2 linked regions of the Rattus norvegicus genome follow. Each later gene encodes a partner of the first gene's protein in a complex. Links are inferred from orthologs where the notes say so. Each region holds a gene or a part of one and is shown on either strand. Other genes may lie near its edges. The genes, in order: Gtf2e2 and Polr2d.

What was found.
Region 2: Gtf2e2 (region 1) and Polr2d share a complex: the UniProt entries of both Homo sapiens proteins name them as parts of the TBP-based Pol II pre-initiation complex. The link is inferred for Rattus norvegicus from reciprocal best matches to the Homo sapiens genes GTF2E2 and POLR2D.

The regions. Positions count from the first base shown.
Region 1 is NC_086034.1:65,117,978-65,129,174, forward strand, and holds part of Gtf2e2 (transcription initiation factor IIE subunit beta), read right to left. Parts: intron 10,946-11,197; exon of another isoform or gene 10,235-10,945; coding exon of another isoform or gene 10,169-10,234; intron 7,180-10,168; coding exon 7,072-7,179; intron 3,575-7,071; coding exon 3,392-3,574; intron 216-3,391; coding exon 122-215; intron 1-121. UniProt on the Homo sapiens protein: Recruits TFIIH to the initiation complex and stimulates the RNA polymerase II C-terminal domain kinase and DNA-dependent ATPase activities of TFIIH. Both TFIIH and TFIIE are required for promoter clearance by RNA polymerase.
Region 2 is NC_086036.1:23,687,932-23,699,670, forward strand, and holds the start of Polr2d (DNA-directed RNA polymerase II subunit RPB4), read left to right. Parts: upstream 1-4,646; 5' UTR 4,647-4,701; coding exon 4,702-4,774; intron 4,775-6,113; coding exon 6,114-6,294; intron 6,295-9,444; coding exon 9,445-9,540; intron 9,541-11,068; coding exon 11,069-11,147; 3' UTR 11,148-11,739. UniProt on the Homo sapiens protein: Core component of RNA polymerase II (Pol II), a DNA-dependent RNA polymerase which synthesizes mRNA precursors and many functional non-coding RNAs using the four ribonucleoside triphosphates as substrates.

The sequences.
Region 1 (11,197 bases):
GCTAAGAGATGGTGATGCTAAAATCGCCAACAATATTAATTTACAATATAAGTATTGCGAGCTTTATCACCTTAAAACTGTGACATACTTGCAACTTTAAGATCTACAGAAAATGTCTCACCTTCATCCACAGAAAACTGACAGCTTTTATCATTGAAGAATAGTATTTTCTTCTTATCAGGACGACTTACAAATAGAATCTGGTCCCCTAAAGCCTTAAAGATAAAAAAAAATTAATTAACATCAAATTACTCATTTAAAAACACACACTATACATATGATACACATACTCTCTCACACACACATATCTGTATCTATATATAGGGAGGAAAGAGAGAACACAAAGGCTTTTCTTTCAACCCACAGTCATCATTAGAGCCTACGTGCTCCAGGTTGGAGCTGAATTTCTTTCTTTACTAATTTTATCTCCGTGGATACTTTCAGATTTCTTAGATAACTGTCAAAGAACATAAAGGTCTATGTGTGTCTCTGTTTCTGTGTCCTTGTTAGTGCTTGAAGAAATGCAGAATCCAGATATCGACTTTGGGTATCTTCTTCCTCATCTTGTTTTGTGGGACAGCATCTCTCACTGAACCTAGGTGAGCTAGAGAACCCCTGAGAGCTACTTGTTTTAATGTGCCCTGGAGCTGGTACTGGTACTGTTGCCTGGGCACTGGGGACCTGAACTCAGGCTCTCATGCTTGTCCAACAAGTATTTTACTGACTACAAAACATCCTCAGCCCTCAAACTTCATCTATTTTTTTTTAAGTATAGAATAGAGGTTATACAGGGCATGGGGAGGGAAGTTGAGAGGGCAGTAGAGACAGAGAAAGGCAGAGAGAGAGAGTAAAGGAGTATAGGCCAGCCATTAGCACATGGGAGGGGGGTTGAGATGGGGGAGCAGGAGGGAGAGGACAGAGCTAGAGCAATAAGGCAAGAGAGCCAAAATTTCATCTTTTAAAACAAAATGTAAACCAGGAAGTGCCACATGCTTTAATCCCAGCACTCCGGAGGCAGAGGCAGGTAGATCTCTCTGAGGCCAGCCTGGTCTACAGAGCAAGTTCCAAGTCAGGAAGGGCTACACAGAGAAATCCTGTCTAGAAAAACCAAAGCCAAAAGAAATAAAATTAGATAACTGGATCAACAAAAATGCAATGTACACATATAACAAACAAAGGGGAGGAAATCCTCCCATGTGCTGCAACAGTTGAACCATAAGGATATAAAAATAAGCTAGTCACAAAAACACAGACACTGGTAAGGTCAGACTCAAACACACTGGTAATGGCTACAAACAGTGGGGAAAGAGTAGTTGTTGAAAGGTGCTGTTCAGTTATGCAAAACAACAACAGTTCGGGAAATCTTGAGCATTAGAATATGACTATAACCCCTCTGAATTATACATTTAAAATAAGTAAGGTCAGGCTGGAGGGCGCTTCCATAGTTAAGACACTTGTTCAGTCCCATGCACCCACTTGGTGGCTCCTGAACAACTGTAACTCCAGCTGCAGGGATCCAACACGTCTTCTGCACTCCACCAGCACCAGGTATGCACACGACTCACATACACAACAGTCATTATCTACAACATCTATACAGGTCAAAATTTGATGCCATGAAGTTAAAATTTAAGATAGTTCTACTTTTGATAAATCTACACACTGGATCTTGAACATTTCCCAAAAGACCCACATTTTAAGGCATGGCCTCAGGGTGGCACAGTAGGAGCCAGGTAAGATAAGTCATTAGATCACCAAGGGAGTGACTGCGACTCTCTTTTCCTTCCTGGGCATGAAGGTGGTGGTACTTTTGCATTACTATATGCTCCTGCCATGGTAGACTGTCTCATAAAACTGAGCATGGACTGAAACCTCTAAAATCATAAGCTAAAATAAGCCCTTTGTTTGTAACTCTGATTATGTCAATTATTTCACTGTGGTTCAGGAAAGCTGAATAACACGTGAGAAGCTCGTCTGGTGGTGTTATATCACCAGGGCTATCCGTCAGTCCAGCACCCAGGATGTCAACAGGAGGACCAGGAGTTTAAGGCCAGTCTTAGGCATGTGAAGTCTTATCTCAAAATCAAAAGACAGCCCAGGGTAGACACAGACACAGACAGACAGACAGACAGACAGACACACACACACACACACACACACACACACACACACACACACACACACACACCCCTCTTTAGTCCCAGCATTCGGGAGGCAGACATTTCTGTGAGTTTAAGAACAGCCTGGTTTACAAAAAGTGGTTCATGCTGGGCAGAACTATATAGTGAGACCCAGACTCTCTCCTCCACTGCTACACCTCCCAAAAGAGACCATTTCATTCCTTCAGAGGCATTTAGTTGATGCTGGGTAAGCTGGAGGTCCAGTTCAGCCATTCAGCACTTGCTCAACATGCAATGGCAACAAGAAGCTTTTACAAGTGAGTCTCAGAGTTAACCCAAAATGTCGTGTTCATAACCCTAACTTTCACTGCAAACTCCTTAGGACATCAGAACTTGTTAGTAAGCAATGGCCTTAGTATGCTTTAATGCCTCTAGTTCCCGGTGTAAGCATTATCAAACACTATTGTTGGAAGAGTTTTTATTTCAAATAACAAGAAAACCAATGTCTTTGAGAAAAACTTTCTAGAACTCTTCTGAAGAATTAAACCCTGATGCAACATAAAAACAAAACAAAAGCCACCCCCCCCCAAAAAAAAAACCTGTTAACATTACACAGAGATGATTATTTTCTTTCTGGCTCTGTGGCACCGAGTGTTTTTAGTTTGTGAGTATAAGTGCTTTGTCTAACTGCAGGTATGAGTATTGTGTATGGCCTAGCCCTCAGAGGTCAGAAGAGAAGCCACTATCCCTGTGACGTGGAGTTAGACATTGCTGTGAGCCACCATGTGGGTGCTGGGAACAAAATCAACTGCTAAACCATCTATCCCTCCAGCCCCACAAAGTTCAAACTTTAACTGGATCACTAAGACGCCAGGATAAACACTTTAAAAAGAACTCCATATCCCCCCAATCCTAACCCTAACCCTAACCCTAGGACCCAAGTTCAGGTCCCGTCACCAACAGCAGGCAGCTCACACTGCCTGTAGCAGCTTCAGCTCCAAGGGATCCAACAACATGCTCTCCTTTCCTTGACGTGGGCAGATACCCAGACACATACATAAAAACAAATATATCTGAAAAGCATAGGAAGCCGGGCATGGTAGCACATGCTTTCACTCCCATTTCTCAGGAGGTAGAGGCAAACAGACCTCTGAGTTCCAGGACAGCCAGGGCTACACAGTAAGACCCTGTCTCAGGAGATAAAGAAAATTTTAAAAAAGACATTACCAATTCAATCTATAGCTACGATGTAGGAGGAAAAGAATGATTACCTTGACAGCTTTCTGAGAATTAGGCAATCCCTCTTCTATGTCTTCTAAGAGAATGCCTCCCAGTCCTCGCTGGTCATGGTTATCTAGAAGCCTGAGCAGGGCCTTCTTATCTTTCAAGTTGTACTTAGGTTTGAAGGCGTATTTCCCATCTACTACTTCAATTTTGGGATTGTTGACTAAAGCCTGTAAAAAGAAACACAATTTAGATATATGTATAAAAGCAAACCTCATGTGTATGTCCTTAAATTCTTACATCCCCCACATAGTGGCATATTGAAGTATCTTTTTTTTTCTTTTCTTTTTTTCGGAGCTGGGGGCCGAACCCAGGGCCTTGCGCTTGGTAGGCAAGCACTCTACCACTGAGCTAAATCCCCAACACCCCTTTGAAGTATCTTATAAACATAAACTAGCAGACCTGAAACACTGGGCATCTAGGATCCCAGAACAAGTGGATCAGCACAGAGCTTGCCGCTTATTTAAAAAGAATGAAAGATCTATACATTATTTGCATACATTCTTTAGAGAGAAACCTGTTTATCACAACTGCTTTGAAGAACCTTTATTCTTTTAGAAGACAAGGTAAGAATCAAAAAAATACCTATTAGTAGACACAGTGAACTAGGTATCACCTACTCCTCCTCCAAAGTATACCCAGTCTATCTCGTACTGGCAAAAATTAGTCAACAGTAAGTCCTCCTCTCCTGGCATCAGCTGAAACTGAAGCTGTGGAGAGAACAGAAGGCCAGCCTAACGCACATGGAAACGTTACCTCTAATGTCAATAGAACACAGCTACTGAACCTAACATTCTTACAAGATCTGGTACCAAGCTACTGTCAGAAGGAAAGCTCCTCAAGAACAGAGCAACCGGGGCTGGGGATTTAGCTCAGTGGTAGAGCGCTTACCTAGGAAGCGCAAGGCCCTGGGTTTGGTCCCCAGCTCCGAAAAAAAGAACCAAAAAAAAAAAAAAAAAGAACAGAGCAACCCAGCCTGGTAGTAAAGGAGCTCCCAGTTACTCAGTAGGCTAAAACAGGAAGATTAGACAGTGAAAACCACCTAGGTTACAGGTACACTAGGTCAGCCTGTGCAACTTAGTGATTAAGTCTCAAAGCAAAAAGTTAAAAGGAAGGCCAGAGATACAGCTCAGTGAGTACTTGACTAATATATAAAGTCCTTCCTGTGTCCAAGCCATAGTACCAAAAAGAGAAAAAAGAAGCCTACATACTTCTTTCTCAATTGCCAATCAGGCACAGAAAAAGAGAAAGAAAATGAAACAGAATAGTACTGACTAAAAATAATCTTTGGGCGGCAACATGGTTCAGAGTTCTCTAAAAGCACTTGACACAGAATCCTGACGACACATGTTCAACCCCACATATGGGTAAGAACAAGAGAGTAAACGCTGATGATAAACAGAACTGCCTTTGGCTGCTCCATGCGAACTGTGGCACACATGTACCTACCCACCCTTATGCTCATAACGACAGATAAAATTTTTAAAAATGTAAAACTTGAGTGTTGCTAACTATATGGAACTACATTTACGTAACTCTGCATACTTAGCTATGGATTACCATCATCTGTGTGTCACCAATATTTATTATCATCATCTACAACATCTCCGTGTAAACAGATTCAAGTTAAAAATCTTAGGTAGAGCTGGCTGTGGAGACTCTACCTGTACTCTCGGCAGTTAGGAAGCTGAGGCAGGAAACTACTGCCAAGTGAGAGCCAGCCTGAACTACAGGGTACGATTTTAGCTAGAAGTAGTGGTGCAAACCTCTGACCCCAGTACTTGGGAAACAGATGGATCTCAGTGAGTTTGAGGCCAGCCTGGTCTATACAGTGAGTTTAGGACAGCCAGAACTACACAGTGAGACCCTGTCTCAAAAAAAAAAAAAAAAAAAAAAAAGAAAGAAAACAAAAACAAGCAAAAAATCACACATATATTGGGGCTGGGGATTTGGCTCAGTGGTAGAGCACTTACCTAGGAAGCGCAAGGCCCAGGGGTTGGGGATTTAGCTCAGCGGTAGAGCGCTTGCCTAGCGAGCGCAAGGCCCTGGGTTCGGTCCCCAGCCCCGGAAAAAAAAAAAAAAAAAAAAAAAAAAAGGAAGCGCAAGGCCCTGGGTTCGGTCCCCAGCTCCGAAAAAAAAAAAGAACCAAAAAAAATCACACATATAAAAAGAATAAAGCAAAACCAGAGCAATCTTAGGTGGGTTCTGATTCTAGTAACAGGTAAGTGACGGAAGTCGTGACCTTCAATGATTTGGACTAAGTCAAATCATTTTATAGTATGAAAATCAAGAACTACATCTTGCTGGATAAAATAAATTCAGTTAGGCCAGTCATGGTAGCAAATGTATTTAAAAAGACTATGTGGGGTTGGGGATTTAGCTCAATGGTAGAGCGCTTGCCTAGCAAGCGCAAGGCCTGGGTTCGGTCCCCAGCTCCGGAAAAAAAAAAAAAAGAGAGAGACTGTATTTTATGTAAATGAGTTCATATATATACATACACTTTATGTATGAGTATGCTATCTTCAGACACAGCAGAAGAGGGCATCGGATCCCTTTACAGATGGTTGTGAGCCACCATGTGGTTGCTGAGAATTGAACTCAGGACCTCTGGAAGAGCAGCCAGTGCTCTTAACCACTGAGCCATCTCTCCAGCCCAGCACATGTCTTTAATCCCTGCATTTGGGTGGCAGAGGCAGGAGGATGGGAGGATGTCTATAAAAACCTGCCTGAAATAAATAAATGAATAAATGATTAATTATATCGGGTTGTTTAGGGATATTTCATGTTTTAAATGTTGCCAGGCTGGCTTTGAACTCACTATGGAACTAACAATGCCGTAAACTTGGGGTCCTTCTGCTTTGATATCCCAAGTGCTGGGATCACAGACATGTGCCACTATATCCCCGCTCATATTGGTCCTCAGACATATCACTGGTCTTGAACATATTATTCTTCAGTACCAATAGACTTTAAAGAAGCGAACACCCAAATAGATAAGATGTAAGATGTCGTTCACTTGCAAACTGGCATGGTTGGTGACTGTTTTAGGCTTCCTTCAAGGTGGTATTTATTTAACATAACAATCATATTATTCCTCTAAGTAACTAGAAATGATAACTCATTTGCTATAATGCAATAAAATGTTACTGTCCCTAACGCCTTAGGCTTTAAGTTTTCTAAAGCACACATGCAATATATAACTTACAAGCAATTCAAAATACTATTTATGAAAATGAAAACAAAATTGGTGACTGACTTCACAGCTCTACTGTAGTCTTAGAAGACTTTCTAAAACATAAATAAAATTATAATATTATGTGGAAACCAACAACCAAATTATAGAAATGTGTATGTTTAAATTCAACCAAGACTCTACATCAAGTCTTTTAAGAAAAAGTAAAAAGTATTAACAAATTACAGGATTTATTTAAAGAACAAAGAAACACTCGGAGCCAAGCATGGTGACTCTTGAAGCTAAAGCAGAGTGCCCTGAGTCCGAAGTCAACACACACTACGAAAGACCCTGCGTTGCCTGCCTGCCTGCCTCCCTCCCCCACTCACACACACACACATACACACACACACACACACACACACACACACACACACACACCTCTAGATAGATGTAGCAAATACCCATTTTTACAAGTTTTAAGAGTCGTCTTACCTCTGTCATTAGCCATTGTTTCTGCTTGAGTCCAATGTCTAAGTGCTGTGTTTCATCCAAAATCTCTTCCAGAGTTAAGGGATGCGTATCTCCTCGCTGATGTCGTGTCTGTAGAGGAAAGTTTTATATGTAAACTGATATAAACTGATCTTTTCAGGAATATACAACATGTAATATCTGAGGCAGTATGACTACCAGGATCAACAACATGAAATCATACAAAACCAGATTGGTAAAAAGTCAAACGATAAACTAACAAGGAAAAACATCAGTTTTCCAACTTTAAGCCAGGTATGGGAGTACACACCTGTAACCGCAGTATGTGGGATGCTTAGGCAAGAGAGTCCTAAGTTGAAGACCAGCCTAGGCGAAATGATGACTTCAAGTCTAGCCTAATCTACATAAAAGTTCAAAACTGATAGAGGGTACATAACAAGATGAAGATGTATTGATCTGGAAGAGGAGGATGACAGCAAAAACAGACTTTCCTTTTTTTTTTTTTTTTGGATCTTTTTTTCGGAGCTGGGGACCAAACCCCGGGCCTTGCGCTTCCTAGGTAAGCGCTCTACCACTGAGCTAAATCCCCAGCCCCAAAAACAGACTTTCCTAGTTATTGCAAATCAATTAAACAAAACTTGCAGGAAACCATAGATAACAGAAAAAGAAATTCAAATGTCCTTAAACATAAACAGACAACTCGCCAAGATGCTTCTCACGATCAGATAGAAAACTATGAATGTCTGATGCGTCATAGGAAATAGGCTTTCTCACTGACTATCACAATATAAAGTACCTCGACCCTTACAGGAAACAAAATGCACTCTTAACAGCATGACCATTGGTGAGGACTAATTTAGCTACAGCACAATAAATGCTATATAGTTGTTTTCTTTTAAACAGGAAGTTGTCTGTGTGGCCATTTCACTATTGGACCATAGTCGTACGCTCATGCTTCAAGAAAAGGTCACCTCTAGTGTCCTCCACTGTGGTAAAAGGGATGGGCTGGACACAAACAATGAGATCACCGATGGCAACTTCCGTAAGTAGATCCAAAAGCTGATCAGGGATAGACTGTACACACACACACACACACACACACACATATATATTGCCAACTTATGAATGCCAAAGGTGGTAACCCAGAGGTGGGGGATGTGGCTCCTGAACGGGCCTCTCAGAAGACAGTGAGATTCTAAGATTAATCCAGTCACCGCGCTGTGCACCTGGATGTTAAGGGAAATGTGTTCTAAAGTAAGTGGCTTCTCATGGGACACATCCATCTAAAAGGTGAACAAGATACCACAGGGATAAGACAGCAGGATTAAGGACTGAGAATGACTTGTGTCTCAATCTTTTCATATTATTCTATATTTTATATTTATTCTGTATTTTCAAAGGTCTTATACCTGTCTTTTCTGTGTACATTTTAGTATGGTGTGTGTGTGTGTGTGGGTGTGTGCGCGCGTGCGGGCGCGCGGGCGCGCGGGCGCGCCCCTGCGTGGCTCACACATGCACGCACATATCTGCTAGCACTTTCTCTGAGGTTCTCACTTCTTGCTGTAAAATCACTGTGTTGATTTGAATAGTCAGGACCCCGAAGACTCATGTGTTTGAATGTTTGGCCCATGGGGAATGGCACTATTTGGAGGTGTGGCCTTGGAAGGAAGTGTGTCACTGGAGGGGAGGGGGAGGGGGAGGACTTTTCTCAAAGTCTCCTATGCTTAAACTCTGTCCACTACGGAACTCATCTTCTCTCTTGCCTTCTGGATCAAGATGGGATTAAGATGTAGAACTCTTGGCTCCTTCAGTACCGTATCTGCCTGGATGCATGATAATGAACTGACCTCTGACACTGTAAATCAATTAAATGTTTGCCTTTATAAGAGTAGCACTGATTATGGTGTCTCTTGAAGCAATGAACTACAACAATCCCTGCATCTACCTCGGTTGCCCTATAACTCTCCTTGAACTTTCCATAGTTTTTAGTGAGCAACTAAAGAGGTCTACTGCAAGTATTTGTGATGTTATATTTACCTATTTTGCTTTTGAAGTTCCTTTTATAGATCCTCTAAAAGGAGAGAAACAGGACAACTGACAAACCTTGCCAGTTTACAAGTTACTTTCTATTAGATATGCACACTTGCCCTTTAAAAACAGGCCTTAGGAGAAAGGAGGGAGAAAGGAAGAAGGGATACAGCCCGCTTCCACTCACAATTTGCAAGGGTTTTGCTTAAATTCAGGCACATTCAATCTTTTGACACTATGACACAGTTGTCATCTACAAAGTCCATACACCAGACCTTGCAACAAAGATAAAATAACAAAAAACTGTTTAAAAAGAAAATCTAATATAGCTCAGTGAGCAGAGTGCCTGCCCAGCACACATACAGCCTAACTAGGCATGGCACCACACCCATAACCCTAGCACTGGGAGCTCAGGGAGCTGGGGACAGGAGGGTCAAAGCCATCCTCTAGACAGTGAACTGAGGCCAGCCTAAAGTGGTGCTCAGTAATAAAAGATGATTGCTTAGCATGCACAAAACCCAGAGTTTGATCACCAACACTGTCCTCCCATGCCTCCACACAGACACAGGGCACTTTGGCCCTACCTACAACACTCCAAATTCTCATATACTTTGTAAAACTGATCGGCTCCCCTTTTAAACAACTTCTCCTCTTCTAATCCTAACGTACTTCAACTCCATTCAGTATTATCCAAGAGTGCACTGTTCTCAGGAAAGTGTGAGATAAAAAACAAAGAGAATAACACCCCCAATCCAAATATTTAAATCTAAGTAATTTTCTTCAGGACTCCCAAAGTTCATTCCTTAACTATTAATTTTGGGGAAAAATGTATATTTAAAGAGCTAAAGCGGGGCTGGGGATTTAGCTCAGTGGTAGAGCGCTTACCTAGGAAGCGCAAGGCCCTGGGTTCGGTCCCCAGCTCCAAAAAAAAGAACCAAAAAAAAAAAAAAAAAAAAAAAGAGCTAAAGCAGTATCTACTGGGAAGCCATTTCCTTTAAGTAACAAAAATATTTACTAGGACTACCAAGCTGTTCTAATTATGCTACGTAAAAACCCATTAAGTGGTATATACCTTTAATCCCAGAGGCAGAAGATCTCTGTGAGTTCCAGGCCATCCAGAACAACATGGTAAGACCATGTCTTTAAAAATTAAAAATAGGGGTTGGGGATTTAGCTCAGTGGTAGAGCGCTTGCCTAGGAAGCGCAAGGCCCTGGGTTCGATCCCCAGCTCTGAAAAAAAGAACCAAAAAATAAAAAATAAAAATAGAAAAATAGAAAATGGGGGGGAGGAAGGCTGGAAAGATGGCTCCGTGGTTAAGAACAATCACATGGTGGCTCACAACCATCTGTAATGGGATTGGATGCCCTCTTCTGCTGTGTCTGAAGACAGCTACAGTATACTCATATAAATAAAATAAATTTTAAAAAAAGGGGGGGCGGGGGGGTTTAAGGTGTTTGCTGCCTAACCTGATGGCCTTAAGAGTTTCATTTCTGAGGCTGGAGTGATGGCTCAGCAGTTACGAGCACCAACTGTTCTTCCAGAGGTCCTGAGTTCAATTCCCAGCATCCACATGGTGGCTCACAACCATCTGTAACGGAATCTGATGCCCTCTGGTGTGTCTGAAGACAGCTATAGTGTACTCATATAAATAAAAAAAAAAAATTTTTTTTTTAAAAAGTTTGATCTTTAGAACTTAGTGTGTAAGGAGAAGACCAACTCAGGGCTGGGGATTTAGCTCAGTGGTAGAGCTTGTCCTAGCAAGCGCAAGGCCCTGAGTTCGGTCCCCAGCTCCAAAAAAAAAGGAAAGAGAAAAAAAAAAAAAAAGAAACCAACTCATTAAGAGTTGTCCTCTGACCTCCACAAGGACTGGCCTTGAAACTTGTGAATGACTGTCCTTCATCCCCTTCCCATATAAGGGATTACAAGGCTATGTCACACACAAGGCTTGTTCTGGTTTTGTCCTGCAGTGCTAGGGAGAGTACCAAGGATGGTTGCACCCTATCACTGAGCTATACAGCCCAAGGCCCACCTTTCTGACTCATTTTCTGAAGACTAATAAAGTAAGTAGTTGACAGGTAGATAACACATCCTTTGACAAGT
Region 2 (11,739 bases), on another chromosome or scaffold:
TCATGTAACCCTTCCCTTCGTTATTAATGTAATCAGAGATACAAAAGGATGGAGCCTACTTGAAGTTTTGTGTGATTCTCCAAAGAATCTGTGACATCTAGGCTTGAAAACCTCCAAGTTTAGGCTGTCTTGATATTTCTTTGTGTGTGTGTGTGTGTGTGTGTGTGTGTGTGTGTGTGTGTGTGGTGTCTTTCTGAGGATTGATCCCAAGACTTCACATGCTAGGCAAGTACTCTACCATTGAGTTATATCCCAGTCCAGAGACCTGGGCTGTTTGTTTAATTTGTGTATCTGTGTGCCTGTACCTGTGTGAGCATCTAACTTTTGGGAACTGGTTCTCTTTCCACCATGTGGGGTCTCAGACTGAACTCAGGTCATGATCTTTGGTAGCAATGAGATCAGAGTCATCTTACTGGCTTGAGAGCTGAAGGTTTTGTTACTTTGAGACAGGGTTTCACTATGTAGCCTGGGCTGGCCCAGAACTCACTACGTAATCTCAACTATAGTGAACCATCTGCATTTGCCGCCCCATCAGATCTTCAGTTTAAAGACCTGCTCTGCCTGAGGCAACACAACTTCCGGGATGCTTTCCATCCTGTAGTCATGAGAAGGTAGCAGGACACTATTATGTTCCTGAGAAAGTCTTTCTGGTCATGTCTTGCTTATTTACTTCAGTACCTGGGAGGACAAGTTTTCCAAATCTTTGTTAAAGTAAGTCCATCATTTTTGTTTGTTTGTTTTTGTGACAGGCTTTCTCTGTGTAGGCTTTTTGGCTGTCCTAGAACTCCCTTCATAGACCAGCATGACCTTGAACTCAGAGAGATCCATCTGCCTCTGCCTCCGGAGTGCTGGGATTAAAGGCATGCACCACCCCTGCTTGGCCAGTAAATCCATCCTTAACAAGATGGAGAGTTGGCTCAGTGGTTGAGAACACTTGTTCTTTCAAAGGACCCAGGCTCAATTCTCAGTACCCACCCAGAAGCTCACCACCTCCTTGGGCACCAGGCACACAAGCGGTGCACAGACATACACACAGCCAAAACACTTATGCATTCAAAATAATAAACAAATCTAAAAAATTACCAAAAAAAAAATCAAGATGATCAAGACATTTAGCTGTGTTATGTGGGAGCAAAAAGTGCATTTCTCCCTCAGATTTTTACAATGCCAGAATCCCTGACAAGAGCAAAGATGAAGTTCAGTGGATAAAAGCCATTCAAGTTGACAGTCAGGATTACATATCAAGCTTAACCTGCAGAACCACAGGGTTCTGAAAGTTGAAGGGCATGGTGCTTTGGTGAGGACCTCCCTTCACATGGCATCATGGATATAAAAGGGAAAGAGAACATGATAAAGGTGAGATGCACGGTCTGGTGTGCAAAGAGTACAAAATACATTAATTCCTCCTAAGGCCATGCCCCCAATATCTAAGGGCATCCCACTAGACCTCAGTTCTTTTTAAAAATTCATTAAAGCAATTTTTATAGTTTGCATGTATGCACACATATATGCCTCTGGTGCATGTATGGAGGTCAGAGGACAACTTTTGGGAGTCGGTTTTCTCCTACCAATTAAATTCAGTTCCTCTGGCTTAGTAGAAAGTGCCTTTAGACACCAAGACATCTCTCTCTCTCTTTCTGTGTATGGATGTTCATGTGTCTGCAGGTACACGTGTGTCCATGTACATGGCAGAAAATGATATTGGATCCCTATTCAGGAATGCCATCCAATTTCTTTGAGGCAGGTCTCTCACCATCCTTGATTTACACGGCCCGAGAGCTCTTGGGATTGTATATATCTTCTTCCTCTCAGGGCTGGGATAATGAGCACTTTATGTGGGTTCTTATGATCTGTAACAAGGGTGCTGGTGGCCCTGATACTGACAAAGAACTGAGGGGTTGGGGATTTAGCTCAGTGGTAGAGCGCTTGCCTAGGAAGCGCAAGGCCCTGGGTTCGATCCCCAGCTCCGAAAAAAAGAACCAAAAAAAAAAAAAAAAAAAAAAAAAAAGAACTGAACACCAGGGACAGACAGAAGACCAAGCCCTGGAGAGGGGGGAAGTAAAAGGAATAAAAGCCTAACACTTGGAACTCCTGAGTAGACTGTGGTTTGAATATTTTCTGGGGCCCCTGGGATCGCCTCTTCCTGTTTAGATGCCCGTCCTCATGCTCCTCTGCCATTTCTCCCAATGAGAAATGTTCTTCTGTGAACATGGAATCTAAGGGAGGCTGCTTTTCCTTTCCTTGTCCACTCATATCCCTCGAACTTTCTCCCAGATGAAATCTGGGTCCGCATGCTGGCAAAAGCAAGCACTGTCATAACTGAACCTCCTCTCCAGTTCTAGTCCCTACCTCCTACGCAGTTCTGACTTCCAGGACACGAAGCTTTAGGAGACACATTTAAACTACAGCCAAACATCGGACTCTTGATCTTTCCTTAGCACCTTCTTTGACTGTGTTACATCACCCGTCAGATATTGCACTCGCTACTCTTAGTGAGCTCATGTTCGGGACAGATTTTTACCCTACTCATCATTTTAACCTCATGGACTTACAGATGGCTTATAATGGCTTCCTAAATGAAAATGGTACACATGGGCCAACCTGGGAAATGTCACTTTATGTTTTTGTTACTCTTGTTTTCTCTCTCTATGCCTGGTGACTTCTCTCCTCCTCCCTCCTTTCATGCCTCTGTGTGTGTGTGTGTGTGTGTGTGTGTGTGTGTGTGTGTGTGTGTATGTGCGTATGTGTATATATGTGTGTGTATGTATGTGTATGTGTATATGTGTGTATTATGTGTATGTGTGTATATATGTGTGTATGTATGTGTATGTGTATATGTGTGTATTATGTGTGTATGTATGTGTATGTGTATTATGTGTGTGTGTGTGTGTGTGTGTGTGTGTGTACTGAATCTCAAGTCCATTTCTACTACCTAGGTGCAGTATGACTATGAACTACTGCCCTGAATATCTTTGCAGGAGTTCTGATAAGCTGGAGCATGTCTGTTATAAAGGTCTTATGCTTTAAGGTTTATTTATGAGTATGGGTATTTTGTCTACATGTATGTCTGCACACTAGAACACCATGGACAATAGTTATAGACTGTGCGAGACACCATGTAGATGCTAGGAACTGAATCCATGACCTCTGTAAGAGCAGCCATGCTCTTAACTGCTGGGAGGTCTCTCCAGTCCCTGTTGTGATTTCTCACATGCTGTTCAGGAAAGCACCGAGAAATGGTTAAAAAGCTGTCAATACTATATAACCATTTATTTTAACCAATGCATTCCTTCTACAAATATAGATACACAGCAGTTTTGTAAAACTCATTTTATTTACAAACCAAAAGACTACCTATTCTTGGACCAGTGAGATCATGCAGCAGATAAAGGCCCTGAGTTCAATCCCCAGAATCTATGCAAAACTGGAAACAGAGAACAAATTCCACAAAATTATCCTCTAATCTCTTCTGTGCACCTCTGTATATATAATAAAAATACATTTTCTTGTCTTGTAATAAATACTTCTATCAATTTTTAAAAAGATTTATTTTCTGTGTATGTGAAGGGTGTGTATGGTGTGTTTCACCTCCAAAAGAGAGACCAGAAAGGGTTTAGATCCCTTGTAGCTGAAGTCACAGGTGTTTGTGAGCCATCTGGTGTGGGTGCTGGGAAATGAACCCAGGCCCTCTGAAAGCATCAAGTGTTAACCACAGAGCCACCTCTCCAGCCCATTTTTTATTAAGTTACAGGGTTTACTAGTGTTCACTAATGACCCAAAAACTGGAGAAGTGTTTGTCCCCCTTATTGTATAGACTTTTGTTTCTCTTTAAATTGAAAATATCACTTTTTCATTTAGCTTTCTACTTATTCAAATGTCTCAACAGATATGATAAAGGGTTCTCAATATTAAACTTCACCTGCTCAGAATTGTTAAATACACAGGAACAATTTAACAGGATGGTATGTTACCTAAACTGGCATGGATTCTTGGGAATTTGCTAAGTAGCCACGCCTCTTTGTGAATTTTTTTTTTTTTTTTGAGACAAGATCTCACTATGTAGCCCTGGTTTTATATCACTTTGTAAACCAGGCTAGTCTCAAATTCAAAAGATCCACCTGCCTTTGCCTGCCTCGGGCATGCTAGGATTAAAGGCATGCGCCACTACAAACTGATCTCCTTCAACTCTTGATCCTCGCGCTCAGTGATTGATTCATTACCACCACACAGGGGTTAGTCTTTTTTTTTTTTTCTTAAGACACAATTCAATCATTGAAAGAGATTTCAGTATGTTTCTGTAGTCACCTACCCAGCTTTTCAACATAGGACATTCCTTGGATCAGCCACTTAGTTCAGTCCTGCACCTCACTTTCTTCTGAAATGGCTTACTTGACGCTCCCAGGTGCCACGGCAATAGTGTGTTGCCGAAAATAAACACTTTAATCTCCAAGCAGGCAGCACAGAACCACACCTCCAACGACCGGAAGCCGCTAGACTGCGCCCGGACCGCCCCTGTCGCGGGCAGTCTCGCGGGTTTCCCCTAGTGTGATAGCAGGGTGCCTGACCTACCGTCGTCCGCCCGCTTTCTCGGCCCCGCCCATTCACTTGGCCCCACCCCGGAGCCGGATTGGTTCTTTTCCTTAGAAGAGCCCGTCCGTGCGGCTTCCGTCTCCGGCAGTGTCTGTGGCAGTGCGCAGGGCGATGGCGGCAGGTGGAAGCGATCCTCGAGCTGGCGACGTAGAAGAAGATGCTTCCCAGCTCATCTTTCCCAAAGGTAGTATCCGGGACAGTTCGACTCTGAGGTGACATTGTCCTTGAGTTATAGTCGTTATCCGTTCCCTGCCCACAGGGAGCATTCGGGGCCGGCACGGGGGATTGATTGGTCAGCCCGGTACAAATGAACCCTTTCGTAGTTAATTCCCCTACACCCAGCAGTTTTGTTTTTGTGAGAGCGTCTAATTAGGTATCCTAGGCTAGCCTCCACCTTATCACATTCGTGCCCTTTCCTCTTGAGTGCTAGAATTAAAGGCATGCGCCATCGCTCTTGATTTTTAGGGGGAGTTAAGCTATGCCTTTTCCTGTCATGCAGAAGATCTGGAGCAGAGGTCTCATTTCAAAATTGGCAGCCAGTAAAAGCTGAGCTATGGTTCCTCTCACAGTGCTAGTCAAAGCGTTTCAAGATCTGTGGGTCAGAAGTGCTCTCTGCCCTGGCCTCTGAGGAGAGATGCTGTTGCCGTTGGTTTCTGAACCTTCGTTGTAGCTTTTCGAGTTAGGAAGAACGTTTGAGAGCAAGATGGGTTCCGGTTTGGGATGTCTGGTACTTCCTTTTGTCGGATGTGTGCCAGCCTCTGTGCATAGTGCTGTTCCTGCTACTAAACTAGTCTAAACTAGTCACCTTGCCCCAGGAAATCAATCCCCTGTCTCTTCCTACCAACTGTTAGATATAGGAACCCTCTGTACCTGTTTTGTGGGTTCTGAGGATCCTAACTCTGCTTCTTACACTGGAGTGGCAAGTACATTATCCACTTAATCATCTGCCCAGCCCCAGCAAGTGAGGTTATCTTCTGTCTTTTGTGTGTGTTTTTAATTGAGATGGAGAATCTTTGTTTTTAAATTTTTATATATAAGGATTATTTTGCCTGCGTGTAGGTCTGCATGCATGTGAGGTGTCCATAGAAGCCAGATGTACTAATTGGACTTAAAAGATGATTTCGAGCCATCTTGTTGGTGCTGTGTGTGGCAGAACCCTTATCCTCTAGAAGATTAGCCAATGCTCTTAAGTGCGGAGCTGTCGTCTCTCCAGCCCTTATGTCACTGTTGTAAAATTTATTTTTATTTTAATTATGTCTGTGCAGGTATCTGAGGAGGGGAGAGGTGCTATGAGGTGTCTGATGGGGTGCTGAGAATTGAACTTCCTTCGAAAGAGCAGTGCATGCTCATTTCTCTAGCCTTCTGGTTTCGTTTGTTTGGTGTTTTTGAGTCTCTCTGGCTATCTTACAGCTCATCAATAATAGACCAGGCTGGCCTCAAACACAGAGATCATCCTGCCTCTGCCTCCCAAATGCTGAGACTTTGAAAAGAGTATTTTCAGTTCACATTTATTCTTCTTCCAGAGTTCGAAACAGCTGAGACGCTCCTGAACTCTGAAGTTCACATGCTTCTGGAGCACCGAAAGCAGCAGAATGAGAGTGCGGAGGACGAACAGGAGCTTTCAGAGGTTTTCATGAAAACCCTGAACTATACAGCCCGTTTCAGCCGGTTCAAAAACAGAGAGACCATTGCCAGTGTTCGTAGGTGAGTACTGAACATAAGCCCAAAACTAAAATCTACTTATGTATGTGTTATGGGAGTTTGGCTGCTTGTATGTCTGTGCACCATGTGTGTAAACACCCACAGAGGCCAGAATAGGGCGTTAGCTCCCCAGGGCTGGAATTACGGACAGTCGTGAGTCACTGTGTAGGTGCTGGGACTCGAAACCCAAGTCCTCTGAAAGAGCAGCTGGTGCCCTCAGCTGCTGAACCGCATCTCCAGCCCTACAAAACGGTTTTATTATTATAGACTCTCGTGAAAGACAGAGGCTGTAGGATCCAGGAGTTCAAGGGCATCCTTAGGGGCATAGTAGGTTCAAAGCCAGCCTTGATTGCATGAGACGCTGTTTTAAAAATGCTAACAAAGCAGGGGCCGCTGAGATGGCTCAGTGGGTAAAACATGCTTCAGCCAAGAGGTGGTGGTGCACCCCTTTAACCCAGCACTCAGGAGGTAGAGGCAAGCATATCTCTGAGTTCGATGCCAGCCTGGTCTATAGAACAAACAAACAAATGCAACCAAAAGTGCTTTCTGGGTAAGTCTTAGGACCTGAGCTTATATAGAACCCCAGATGCACCCAGAAGCTCTGAGAATGAATGAGAAGTTGCCTTCTAAGTATGTATGCTTACGCACTTACACATACACACAAATGGCTAAATAAACAGACCACACACAAATACTTAGGGGAAAAACAAACAAACAAACAAAAAAACCCTAACTGGGTATGCCTTTAATCCCAGAATTTGAGAGACAGAGACAGGAGAATCTCTGTTTGACTCCAGCCTGGTCTACATAGCAAGTTCCAGGACTACATAGATAGAACCTGTTAAAAAAAAGTAATCAAGGGCTTGAAGCCCCCACCCCCACCCCCAAATTTTGCCTACCAGAAAAAAGGCTCTCAGACTTGACTCAGTCAAAATTTTCTCCACTGCATCACAAATTCTGGGGTTACTAGTATATGCCATCATGCACTCGCTGCCCTCCAGGTACGATTTCTTGTATTCATTTTTATTTTATTATTTTTTTTATTGGATATTTTATGTATTTACATTTCAAGTGTTATCCCCTTTCCAGTTTCCCCTCTGGAACTCCTCTATCCCATCTCTCCAACCCCTGCTTCTACGAGGGTGCTCCCCCACCCACCCACTCCCAGCTCACTGCCCTGGCATTCCCCTATACTGGGACATCCAGTCTTTGCAGGACCAAGGGCCTCTTCTATTGATGCCAGACAATGCCATCCTCTGCTACATATGTAGCTGGAGACATGGGTCGCTCCATGTGTATTCTTTGGTTGGTGGTTTAGTCTCTGGGAGCTCTGTGGGGATGGAATCTGGTTGGTTGATATTGTTCCTGTAGGGTTGCAAACCCCTTTGGCTCCTTTAGTCCTTTATCTAACTCCTCCATTGGAGACCTTGTGCTCAGTCCAGTGGTTGGCTGTGAGCATCTGCCTCTGTCAGAGCCTCTCAGGAGACAGCTATATCAGGCTCCAGTCAGTATGCACTTGGCATCAGCAATATTATTTTTATTTTATACACACACATACACACACACACACACACACACACACACACACACACACACACACATGAGGGGGCGGGGAGAGGGGATTTCTTTATATAACTTGGATATATATATATGTGTATATATATATGTGTGTATATATATATATATATATATATATATTTTTTTTTTTTTTTTTTTTTTTTTTTTTTTGAGGCAGAGTCTCATTATCTAGCCCCGGCTGGTCTAGAACTCCATATTAGACCAGGTTGTTTTCTATCTCACAGAGATCCACCTGTTTTGAGATTAAAGGTGTCGAACACCACACTGTCTTTTGTTTTTTAGAAAAAATTTATATTATTGTCATCGTTATTATTACTGAGACAGATTTGTATCTCTGTTTAGTGAAGAGCATGCTGTGTAGACCAGGCTGCTGTGAATGTGTGCTATTAGGCACAGAAAATCATTTTTTGTTATTTTGTTTATATGTATATACACGCTTGTATATATGTGCACCATGTGTGTTCAGTGCCAGCACTAGCAGAGGCCAGAGAGGAGTTGTAGACACATGGACCCACCCAGTGCAGTTGTTAACTCAAGTCCTCTGAAAATTAGCAGATGCTGTTACTGCCGAGCCATTTTTCCAGTCCCCCAGAGTATATAAGTTCTTACTACATTCATTTGGAAACCAAACTTATTCTCTCGTAAGCTTTATTTTATAGTGCAGGCTATGGAGATCCTGAAGGTGCAGCTTACACACAGATTTGCACAGAGTTTGGGGTATTTCAAAGTTAAAGGAGAGGAGTTTCCCTCAACATACGCAATAGGCTAGCCAATCAGATCTCCTGAATTGCTTAACATTAACTTATCAAAGGTAGCAGATAGAGCAAAGAGCTAGAGAGTCACTTCCTTTTGAATATTTATTTATTTTTTTTTCTTTTCTTTTCTTTTTTTTTTTTTTGGAGCTGGGGACCGAACCCAGGGCCTTGTGCTTGCTAGGCAAGCGCTCTACCACTGAGCCAAATCCCCAGCCCCTTGAATATTTATTATTGCATTTTATTTTATGTGTGTGTTTGCCTCTGCACCACACAAGTGCCTAGTACTGGCAGAGTCCAAAGAGGGGTATCAGATCCAGTGGATCTGGAATTTCAGACAGTTGTGAGCCACCATGTGGGTACTGTAAATTGAACCCGGGACCTCTGAAAAGAGCAACTCTCAACTACTGGTTTCTTGGCAGTAGTTACAGCACATACATTCCTCTTTACCCAGCTGTGCTCTTCTCAGGGTTCTTGGCTGTCTACGGTGGGTTCTTTGTTTTCTTTTTCTGGAACGTCTTGATTTTCTGGGGTAGGAACAGAAAGTGATTTCAAAGGGGGATTCTGATGCCCATATAGCCACAATCAAAGATTATAAATACCTTTTCTCACCTACATTTGATCTTTTTGCTATTGATGGACTTAGCATTTGACCAGCACTGAATGAGACTGTAGTTTTTTGTTTCGTATTAGCATATAACTGCAGGTAATTACAGGTTCCATTGTGACATTTTTATTCAGGTATATAGTATAGTATAGATCGTGCTCATTTCCTGTCTCTGTCCCTCTCTAACGTCCTGTGTTCTATTTCCCTCACACTCAGCCTGCTTCTCCAGAAGAAGTTACATAAGTTTGAATTGGCTTGTTTAGCCAATCTGTGCCCGGAGACTGCTGAGGAGTCCAAAGCGCTGATTCCAAGGTTCGTACGGGATGGGATGGGGTTTGTCTATTTTATATGGATTTCTCTAAGTCAGATTGCTAGATCCACATGTCGTAAGCGTTTAGCAGTTGGGTTGATGCCATGCTAGCGTTGAGTAAGAGTGTAGTTGAGTGGTGTTTGAGATGGGACTTGGGGGTTGGTTTTGTGCTTTGCTGGTGGCAGTCTCAGGTAGCCAAGGCTTTCCTTGAGCTCTTGATTGCCCTGCTTTCACCTCAAGGGCTGGGATTACAGGCATGAACGAGCATGCTGGCTTAAGAATAGTTTGAGTTTACCCATTAATTGTTTGTGTGCATGTGTACACACGCATGCCTGTGAATGTCACATTAAGCACGTGAGGGTCAGTGGACAGTTTCTCTTCGTTTACTAGGTAGGTTCCCAGATTAAACTCAGGTTGTTAGATTTGGTGGCAGACAACCTTTATTAGCTGAACCATCTTGGAAGCCTGAGAACAATTGTCTTTTTTTTTTCCCTCTATTCTTTTTTTCGGAGCTGGGGACCAAACCCAGGGCCTTGCGCTTGCTAGACAAGCACTCTACCACTGAGCCAAATCCCCAACCCGAGAATAATTGTCTTATACCCCAGGACAGGAAGAATATGGAACAGAAGAGGGTGGTAGGAATATAGCTCAGTGGTAGAACTTTTTGCCTATCGTGTCTGGGACTGAGTTTGAGCTCCCAGTACCTCAGAGAGGAGCATTAGAAATGGGCAGAATTCGCCTTCCTGTAGGGAGTAGCCAAGCATGTGACTATATCTAGAGAAATCAATGGGAAATGGGACTTCTCCCAGACCTAAAAGGTATTCTGGGATTCTGTGTTATTGGTATAGAAGATATTGGACATAATCATTAAGTCACTCAACAAATGAGACACAAAACTGCAGGGCCTGGGAGTGTGTGTTTTTAATCCCAGCAGAGGCAGGCAGATCCCTGTGAGTTCTAGGGTAGCCAAGGCTGCATAATGAGACCTGGTCTCAAAGAAAAGACTAAGCTATACCAACCAAACAAAAGTTTAAATCATATGTGACTGTTGAAGCTTTTAGAATCTTTTTTTTTTTTCCTCTTGGAGTTGGGGACCGAACCCAGGGCCTTGCGCTCGCTAAACGAGCGCTCTACCACTGAGCTAAATCCCCAACCCCTAGAATCTTTTATATATTTACAACCTTTTGGTGCTTCTATAAGGGATGTCAAAAGAAATTCGGTTTAAACTTAAAGGTAGTAGAGCTAAGCAAGGTGCTCAGAGATGAACCTCCTTTGAAAAACAGGGTGGGGGGCTGGAAAGATGGCTCAGTGGTTAAGAGCACTGACTGCTCTTTGGTCATGAGTTCAATTCCCAGCAACCACATGGTGGCTCACAACCTGTAAAGAAATCCGATGCCCTCTTCTGGTGTGTCTGAAGACAGCTACAGTGTACTTATATATAATAAATGAATAAATCTTTATTTAAAAAAAAAAACAGGGTGGGAAAACTGCCAGTTTCTAAGTCACTTAAATTTCTTGGTCTTCTTCTAGCCTGGAAGGGCGTTTTGAAGATGAGGAACTGCAGCAGATTCTTGATGATATCCAGACGAAGCGCAGCTTCCAGTACTGATCACCAGACGTCACTCTGCTCCTTGAGATAGCCTCCAGACCGCTCTACAGTCGGAACCCTGGGTGGGCCTCACGCAGGACTGTTGCTTCCGAAGATACTGGGACTTCTTTAGTCATACTTTTCGCTTTACTGAGATAGAATGTCTCTCTGTACTTCTCAAAGTTGTAACAGTCCTCCTGCCTCAGCCTCCCAAGTGCTGGGATTACAGGTGTGAGCCAACACTTACAGCTTGACTTTTGGAGAAGAAACAAAGACTGGCTATTGATGCTCTAGGTGCTGTCTTCACCGGGACTATTAGACCATAATTACTGTGACTATTAGACCATAATTACCATCTCCTCTCATTGCAGCCTTATAAGGGCTGCTATGGTCAAATGTGCTGCCATCCTGAACTAGGGAGGTAGACCGATGTTAAAACATTTGGTGACTACCTCTTTCTATGTTTTTTTTTGGACCCCATGTTAATATTTTTTGTTCTTGACATTGCAATTTTTAATGTCAATATATTTTGTAGTTTTTGAAGCTATAATGATAAATAAAAAAATTATATGGGAGGAATGTTTTTACTTTGTTGCAAAGGGGAGAGATAAAC